2 linked regions of the Ovis aries genome follow. The protein of the gene in region 1 purifies or fractionates together with the protein of each later gene. This does not show direct contact. Links are inferred from orthologs where the notes say so. Each region holds a gene or a part of one and is shown on either strand. Other genes may lie near its edges.

What was found.
Region 2: the proteins of DTX3 (region 1) and RNF114 purify together in Homo sapiens (affinity purification with mass spectrometry; 3 studies listed by BioGRID and IntAct, counting the BioPlex papers as one, with this or other methods). This does not show direct contact. The link is inferred for Ovis aries from reciprocal best matches to the Homo sapiens genes DTX3 and RNF114.

The regions. Positions count from the first base shown.
Region 1 is NC_056056.1:162,060,065-162,064,622, forward strand, and holds the start of DTX3 (probable E3 ubiquitin-protein ligase DTX3), read right to left. Parts: upstream 2,876-4,558; 5' UTR 2,841-2,875; intron 1,476-2,840; 5' UTR 1,414-1,475; intron 1,231-1,413; 5' UTR 1,185-1,230; coding exon of another isoform or gene 1,157-1,184; coding exon 1,156-1,156; intron 819-1,155; coding exon 70-818; intron 1-69. UniProt on the Homo sapiens protein: Regulator of Notch signaling, a signaling pathway involved in cell-cell communications that regulates a broad spectrum of cell-fate determinations.
Region 2 is NC_056066.1:78,023,937-78,028,467, forward strand, and holds the start of RNF114 (E3 ubiquitin-protein ligase RNF114), read left to right. Parts: upstream 1-1,543; 5' UTR 1,544-1,554; coding exon 1,555-1,700; intron 1,701-4,531. UniProt on the Homo sapiens protein: E3 ubiquitin-protein ligase that promotes the ubiquitination of various substrates. In turn, participates in the regulation of many biological processes including cell cycle, apoptosis, osteoclastogenesis as well as innate or adaptive immunity.

The sequences.
Region 1 (4,558 bases):
ATCAGAGAACAATCAGAGAACAAGGAGCCTGGGGAAACCAAAGGGTAAGGGCAGCCACAGTCTTCTTACCCCCTGGACACCGGGCGGGAAGACGTACTGGATGACGATGGTGCCGTACTTCTCATAGCTGGGTAGTAGGAGTGTGGCATCCTTAGAGACCAGCATCCGCCCGTTCTGGGGCTGGTTGCCCACCAGCTGCCCATAGAAACGGCCACACATGGGGCAGGCCTTCTTCACCTGCAGGGCCCGGGTAATGCAGCCCTCGCAGAACGAGTGCCGGCACTTCTCCAACGTCTTGGCATTCTGGATCTCTCCCAGACAGATGGGGCAGGTGCTCTCCTGCTCTTCTGTCTCTTCTCGAAGGCGGGGAGGAAGAGGAGGGGGTAGCGGAGGAGGAGGTGGGGGAAGCCCCCGGGCCCCTGGGGGCAGAAGTGGGGCTGCTCGGAGAGGGGGTGGGCCTGGGCGGTGCAGCTCAGGGTGCTCCCCTCCACCCCCCAAAGCCAGGCAGCCCATAAGCTCCCCCTGCCTCTGAGCTTTCTTGAGCTCTTTCTCTGCCTCCTTGAGCAGCCCCTTGAGAGCCTTCCTGGCCAGATAGAGCCCATTGGGAGGAGCTGGGGGAGGGCCCTGAGGGGAAAGCTGGAGAACATAGATGTCAGAAGTCTCGCCGTCTATGAGAATGGACACGTGGTGCTCCTCCCGAAGCCGGGCCAGCCGGGCAGGGGTCTCCTTGCTCAGGAAGTCCCACACAGGCTTGGAGACAGTCACTTTGTTCTTGCAATTGCCTCCACAGGCTGCCATTCTGGACAGGACGAACGACACTGCCCCCAGGGTAAAAGGGACTCAGGGTGGGGGGGTCCCCATTTCACAGATATCAGTGCCTCCTACTTCCCATTCCTTTCCGGTCTATATTACCTCTACTCTCTCAGAGCCCAACCCCCATCTCCTCCCCCAAGTTCACGTTCTAGTTCCTCCCATCTTTCAAACTCCAGCACCCTCTGAAGAGCAAGAAAGCTGCTCTAACTTTATTATCATCTAAGGTAAGCATCAGTCTTGGTTCTACACTCCTCCCTAGAGCACAGAAGCATCCTGGCCCTCCCCAACTCTGGACTGGGTTCTGTAAAAGGAAAGGAGATTTCAACCCTCCTTTTTGCTCACTTTGATCCTGAAGAGCTTAGAATTGGCATGCAGGCGCGCGCTCTGTCCCCACTCCCTACTTGTAGGTTGTGTGACCTGGTGGGTGGAAAGGAAAAGGAGTGGAAAACCCCTTCTCCCATTTCCACATGCCCCCACCCAGCAGCCCACAAGACAGACAGAACCTGGGGGTAAATCTCCTGGGAATGGGATTACTAGGAACATGGAATGAAGGAAACCAATTTAAGGGTGAAAGTTGAAGTTTCCATGAAAGGCAGATACCTGGAAAGCCCATGGACGGTGACAGCAGAATTCCCTCTGTTTCCACATTCAGCTGACCAGGACTAGGGGAGGGAGGGGGGGAGGGAGGGAGGAGGGGTTAGGATGACAAATATTACCCTTTCCCCCAGTCAGCCCAGAAGCAAACAAAAACTCCTCCATTTCCTCTCCCTGTCTTTTGCAGAATTTCATCCTCAGCCTCTGGCCAAGTTCCTAAAGAAGGAACTTCAACATGCTAACTTTCCTCTTCCTCAGCTCTGGGCTCTTAAGAAACCTAGGGACACAGATTAGAGAAGTCTGGAAGGGAAAAGCCCACACACAGAGAGGTCTGTTTTGCCACCTCCCTCAGATCACAAGGACAAGAATATCTCCTTTGCTCCCCAGCTTCTCGCCCTGCTCCACATTTTGCCAATAATTCAGCTCCTAGTGCTAGGGTGCCTTCCTTGAGTGTTAACCCAGTCCCTTCTGCTGGAGTCTGTTTGGAATGCGGACCAAGTGGCAGAAGCCCCTGTAATAACGAAGTTCTCGCTGTCACCTTTTAAACCCAGCACACAAAATCCAGGCCTGCCAGCAACCTAGGCTGCATTTCAGGAGGGGTGGAGCTCACACAGGGGATCCGCTGGAGCACCCTGATATTCTCCACCACCACCACCCCCTCCCTGCCCCAGTCTTGCTGTGTTCAGCTACAGAGCTATCCCTACAACACCTCCAAATGCGGCCCAAATAGAAAGAAGGGCCATTAGTGTGACCTCAATTCCTTGACTGATCCAAAAGGGAGCAGCTCTCCGTTTGTGCCTCCTTCCCAGTCCCCTCAAGGCCAGATGCACCTCAAGATTCATAAAGCGAAATCGGAACCCTAGAGCCTCGGCTCTTTCGGTCCATCCAGGTGGAACACCCCCTCCCCATCAGAGTGAAGCCAGGACCTAGGTGTCCTTTGCTCCGAGTCCTGCTGGCACAGAAATGGGAGGCGGGGCCACAGTTTTTGCTGGGTCCGACTCCTCTGGGGCAGCCCAGGCCGGACACGGGGCCAGTCCCTCCCGCTCGAGAGGGGCCGGCGGACAGGGGCAGCCAGGAAGGGCCAGGGTCCCTGGGGGCATCACGGAGGCATCTCCACCCCTCCCCCCCACGACCTCCTGCCAGACGCGACCCGGAACCAACTCCCCGCATCCCAGGCTCGGCAAAGCCCCGGCAGCCCCACCACTGGGTGGGGATGCATGTCGGCCGGATAGCGGGCCCCAGAACCCCCAAATGGAGGCCAAGGCTGGAGGGTAACAGACGGAGGATCGGCGGGGCCGGGCCCGGACCCCCGGGGTCGCGCGCAGGAGAAGGAGACCGAGGACCGGGCGCAGGGGAAGCGGGAGGGCGCGCGGGGGGTGCGAGAAGGGTCCGGGGGGCGCGCGGTGGGTGTGGGGGGCGCCGGGCTCACCTACCTCTCGTCAGCGCCGCCATTGCCGGTCACATGACTGAGGCTGTTGCTGGGATGACGGTCTGGGCCTTAGCAACAAGGGCGGGGGTGGGGGGAGACCCCGAGAAGGTGTGGGGGGGGGAGAGTTTGCAGGGGGTGCAGACTGAGGAAAAGGGAATGAAGGAGGATGGCTCCCCCTTCCCCCTCCCAGGTGATAATCACCGTTTCCTTTGACCCCCTTCCATCCACAAGCCCCTGCCTTCCGCCCCAAAACAGAAATGGAGGCGCCGTCCCAATCTTTGGAGGCGGGGGTGGTGTCGTGGAGCCCAGGGTAGGAGGGTAAATCCCTTAGAGACGCTACCCTTCTCGCTTTCCCCTCCGGAGAGGGGCCCTCTCTCCCTGTTCTTTGCCAGCCAGCTGCGTGGCAGCTTCTGGAAGCTGGTGGCAGATGGGTGGGTGAGGAATGTTGGTTTAGGTAGGTGGGGAAGAGGGGGCAATTTCTCTGTGATCCTTTTTCTAGAAAGGCCTTTGAGGAATAGGAGGTAGGAAGAAGAGTCATAGTAAAAAGCATTGGTTCTAAAAAATAAATCCAGGACTAAGACGTTTCCCTTCTTTATTGCTTGCCTTTTCCTAGATTGTTACCTTCTGTCAAACCTGCTCTCAGCTGGGTATTGATCTCTGATTTTTCTCTTTACACTGAGGCTGGTGCAGAATAAGTGAATACATTCTATCCAAAAAAAATGCCTTGGAGTGATGGTATCAAGTCTATAGTTGAAATAGTTAAAAACTCACAAATCGAGGAGGGAGGGCTGGGGGTAGGGACCGACCCTCTTATGCTTCCCACATCAGAGCCAGCAGTCTCCGCACCCAGTCCAACTCACTTCCCTGGGGCCACATCAAGCCAGGTTTTTCCAACGGTCAGAAGACCTCCTTGGCCAAACAGTACTGGATAGATTTCTCACACTGGCAACAACCTCTGCTGATCCACCCACTTTCTTCACTCCCTCTCCAGGCTGGATGGCTGGTCACTTCCTTCTTTACTTTCCCAGGATCCTGATGTACTCTTTCTGTCCTCCACACAAAGGACATCTTTCCCAGGAAGCCTGGGGAAATACTGGATTCCTTCTGCTTTAGCTCACGTGTGCTTGGTGCTGTTAAGACTCGCTCACCTTTAGAGATGTGTGATCTAGCCCAGAACCCTGGGGAAAGGGGTGGAGGGGGGTCACGTCACCTCAATTGTCCCTGACCCCCCTGTACCTGACTCCCGCAAAACTGGGGAATGTCTTCCATTCCCATGCACACTCCTGGCCACCTTTTAAGCTCACAGCCATCTATCTTGAAACCCACGTCCTTAGGGACCCAACACCTTAAAGATCAGTTCTTTACATGTCACTGCACCCCTAAGCCCAGGCTTCCAAAAAAGAGGAGTGGGGGAGAAAAAGAATTTCTGTGAAGAAATTTGAATTCAATAATTTATTTTCCTTATAGTGACAGCAATGGGAGTAAATACACGAGATCTTTTTATTAATAAAACAAAAAAGATGAAAAACAGAAGCAACAAATGAAAACCATAATGCTTATGATACATCAGCCAGAAATGGGTCAGAAAACCCAGTTCTAAACAAAGTTGCTGGTGTCATGGAGTTTTATTGCATTCAACAAGGGAAAGGTAGACGGTGGAATGAAAAAGACCCATGAGGCTCCTGACAGGAAAATTTTATAGGGGCTCCAATCCTCAACCGG
Region 2 (4,531 bases), on another chromosome or scaffold:
CACACCTGAGGTTATTGATATTTCTCCCGGCAATATTGATTCCAGCTTGTGCTTCATCCAGCCCAGCATTTCACATGATGTACTCTGCATATGTTAAATAAGCAGAGTAACACTATACAGCCTTGATGTACTCCTTTCCCAATTTTGAACCAGTCCGTTGTCCCATACCCAGCTCTAATTGTACAGGTTTCTCAAGAGGCAGGTAAGGTATGTATGAATTTATGGAAAGTTCATTTCAAGAGCTCAAACTGGAGGTGCTCAGTGGATTTGAAGCCTGAGTCTGGGACTCCCCTTCCCTCACCACCCTCCCTGCTCACAGCACAGTCTGGCGGCAGTTACAAGGCCAAAACAAAAGCTTATAAACACCTACAACACATCTCTGCCACCACAGAAGCACCCCCATTCCTGAAGGGGAGACAGGGCACTTTTGGGCCGGAGAGATGTCAGATGCACAGTGCCTGTCATAGGAACAAGAAAAAGAAATGGTAAAATGGAAGCATTGGCTCTCTTGGGCTGCTGCCTACACACCAAGTTACTGGTTAGTGAAAAGATGGCCCACATGGCTAGTTAAAAATAATCCTCCTGCTGCCAGCAGGTCAAGCAGAATCAATCCAGAGGACTGGGAATGGCCCAAATGAGGCGCAAATTTCCATTCAGTTAACCTGGTTTAGCAAACTGATTTATTTGTCTTGTGCAGACTCCTTACTGTGAGGCCTCTGTGGCCTTACAGGATAGAGTTTAATTGATCATTGACTTTCCTGGGTAAGACAACCGCATAGACCCGTTAGCAAAGCCGGCCTTAAAAAAAAAAAAAAAAAAGTAGCTTCCGTTATAACAGGCTGCATATGAGAGCCAGCTGGGTACAGTGGGAAGTAAAGGAAGATGAGATTCAGAACGTCTGGGTTCTAGGCCTGCTGCTTTCAAGATTGAGGTTTAGTCTCTCTCTCCAAACCCCAGGCTCCCCATCTTCTACAGAGCTAGATGGACCCCGTGGCCAGGAGGCACGTGAAGACAATACTAAGTAATTTTATCACTTCTGCTTTCACTAGGACGTCTCAATGTGGTGATAGCCTGTCTTCAACACCTCTCTAATCACGCTTAATCTCCCTTTTCTACGTCAACAGTATCCGGCACGAATTCATAAGACTCTACAGTATTTGTTCCCCGTGCCTTGTGGAAATAAGTGGTGTTGATTTTCTATTTGTAGCTTGGGAGTGATATCAAATCTCCCTGTAAAATTTGTTTGCTGAAACTCGACTGAAGAGAAAGATTAAAGAATAGTGCATACGTAAATATTAAGCAATGGTACCAACCATTTAAATTTTGGGCAAAAGTGTCTAAAGCACAATCCCTCCTCCCCTCATACCAGTCTCTGGATCCGGGTCTGCCCTTTTCCCTAGCGTCTGAGGGGCCGGGAGGCGTGGCCAGCCCGCTGGCCCCGCCCCAATCCCGGCATACGTTCCATAAGCCCCGCCCCGAGCGGTCCTCCCCGCTCTCGCTCCGCCCCTTCGCCTCTTCCGCGGCCGCTGAGGCGCGGCGCTCCGCGGCGGCAAGATGGCGGCGCAGGCGCAGCCCCAGGCCCGTGATGGTGGTGCGCAGCTGGCAGGACCCGCGGCGGAGGCCGACCCCCTGGGCCGCTTCACGTGTCCCGTGTGCCTGGAGGTGTACGAGAAGCCGGTGCAGGTGCCCTGCGGACACGTGTAAGTGGCGGGCTGGGGCCCGATAGGGGTGGTGGTGGGCAGGGGGGAGGAAAATGGAGCTGAGGAGAGAGGCCCCAGCAGGAAGGGTCTCCGGCGGGAGCGGGAGGCCTGGCCTCGAGGCGCGTCTCCGCGGGGCTCCCGGGGGCCCGTGGACGTCGGCGGGGCGCTCTTCTCTTCCGCCCCGCTTCCTCCCCAGCGTCCGGCTCTTCGGTTGAGCGTCCGCTGTGTCCCGGGCCCCCTCCGACGCGTGATGGCGGAGTGGCGCCCTGCTGGGGGCTTGGTGGAGCCCGAGCCCCGCCGGGTCCCCGCGAACAGGCTGCCCGTGGCCCCTCAGGTATGCCGTGTCCAGTGTCCGGCTCTGCGCGGCAGTTCAGTGTGCTCGGAAGTTGGAGACACGCTCGACTGGACCAAAAGGACAAAGGGGGAGTCCTGAAGGAGACCTGACCCGTCTGCCCTTGACGGGGAGGAGGTCGGGGGCTGGCAGGTAGCGGTGGTCCGCATTCCCGCAGGCGTGCGGGGCGTGTTGCGCTGTGTTTCAAATTCAGAGCCTCCATGCTGTTAGTAGAATGCTTGTGAGGACGAAGGAGCTTGTGTGAGAATGTGCAGTAACAGGCTCTGGGGTGGGCTTTGAGGTTGGCCAGATTTGAATGGAAGCCTTGCTCCATCAGACCCGCAAAACGGCTGAGTGGAAAGAATTGTCGCCTTTTGCCGCTGGGGGTTGGATTTTGCTCTGTGGCCTCCCGCAGCGCTTATCCCGGCGGGCATCGCTTGGGGTTGGTGTTAGGGCCCCTCCGCTGGTCAGGAGGCACAGAAGGCGCCTGCTGGGCGTTCTTGCTCCTGAAGCAGTCCTGTGGGGACAGAGACGTGGCAGCCATTTTGCAGGTGAGGGCACCGAGGCTCCCTCGGGGCTGGCTCACCATTGCCTGTCCTTCCCCGATGGACCGGGTGTCTGTTTGCCTGGCAAGGGCTCCTCAGCCACCCCGACGCTCTTTCCAGCTTCAGGCTGTTCTGCTTGCAGTTCAGTTAGCCTGGAAGTCTTCTTGCCCTTTCAGCCCCTCTCCTGTCACCGCTCCAAATCCTTTCCAGACTTCAAGGCCCAGTTCTAGTAACCTCCCTTGTCAGTCTCCCCATTTCAGTTATCTCCCTGCTTCTCTCCGGGGCACTCCTCCTCCTGCCTTTCAGAGAGCAAAACTTAGGGTTCATGAGGGCAGTGTTTTGCACCTCTTTCTGTCCCAAGTACCCAGTGTAGTGTTTGAGCAACCATCTTCCAATCTTATATTCAACTATCTAAAAATACTTGTATACACACTATGTGCCAGGTTGGCGAACATCCTAAGAAGCAAGGTGATTCTGCCCTCAAAGTTCACAGTCCACTGAATTGATCATTAAATAAGTACTAGCAGTGTTCAGACTCTTGTCAGTCAAACTCATTGTCCACTGGGAAAGTATCACAGAGATAAAGCCCATGTGAGTGGGGGATGGGGGAGTGATCGGGTAAAGGCCGCACAAACTTAAGAAACTGGTGAAGGCACACTTTGTGAGAGTTGAAGTTGCCCCTAGGTAGCTTTCCAGTTGAATTCTCTTCTCTGTGAATCAGCCCTCATTAGGGTTACCTAATTTTGGATTACTTCACTGGATTTAATTTACATTTATAAATAGGCTTATAAATAGGCTTGACCCAGCCCAGGTTACCAACTAAAGAGCAGCAAAATTTGAGGTTTCCTTGAGCCAGGTGGACCTTTCCAAGGTCAGAGGTCAAGGGGCAGTACTGATATGCAAACCTTGGCTCTTGTCTATACTCGCCATACTAGCTCCATGTGTTCATCAGTTCGATGCTGATTCAAAACAGATGGCAGGATCTCTGTGAGGGCCCCCACATCTCCCTTAACTCCCACCCAGTGCATTTTGCTCTGCCTGGTTGCTTTTTGCTAGCTCTTGTGCTTGAAAACAGCATCACTGCAGCTCTAGCCGCACGGGGCATTGGGTTCTTATAAAACTTGTTTCAAGCCCTGACTTTTACATCCCTCTCCACATTAGTGGAACAGCTAGAGGCTGGCAGGTGGCTGGGTGCCCAGGACGACTTGTCTGCGGAGAATTATAAGAGGAAGGGTGGGGCATCTAGAAGACTGAAAAAGGCCCATCAGTAGGAAATGGAAACTGAAAGCCAGACCAACACTGTTCACTGTCTAAGTCCTTTGCGACTCTGCGACCGTATAGACTGTAGCCTGCCAGGCGCCTCATCCATGGGTTTTCCCAGGCAAGAATACTGGAGTGAGTTGCCATTTCCTTCTCTAGGTGATCTTTCCAGCCCAGGGATCTAACTTGTGTCTCCTGGATTGGCAGGCAGATTCTTTACCACTGAGCCACCAGGGAAGCCCGTCCAAGATACAGGGGCCATTTAAAAGCAGGCTTGTTTGTTAGGTGTGACAGGCACAGAGTGGCTTGTGAACATTGATCTCTGAGTCACAGCTATAAAAAGCAGCATTGACATCCAGCGAAAGGACAAAAAGGAGAAAAATGTTAGAGACAGTAAAAAACAAATGTGCAGATTACCTTGGATTACATATCCAGAGCTCTTCCTGGCAGATCTTGCTATCTTGCCTTAGATCTCTGAGGTTGCAAATGCAGCTGGGGTGCTTTCCTGCCTCATTATTCCTTCTTTCTCTGTACCTTATCTCAGCATCACCACCAGTCTAGGCTTCAGATATACAGAAAGTTGGTCATCTTTAACTTCTTTTGTTTTCCAAATTTAGCAAATTGCCAAGTCCTCCTGAATCCATCCCCAAATCATTTCCTGAATTCTTTATTGCCTCAGTCAGGCCCTCATGATC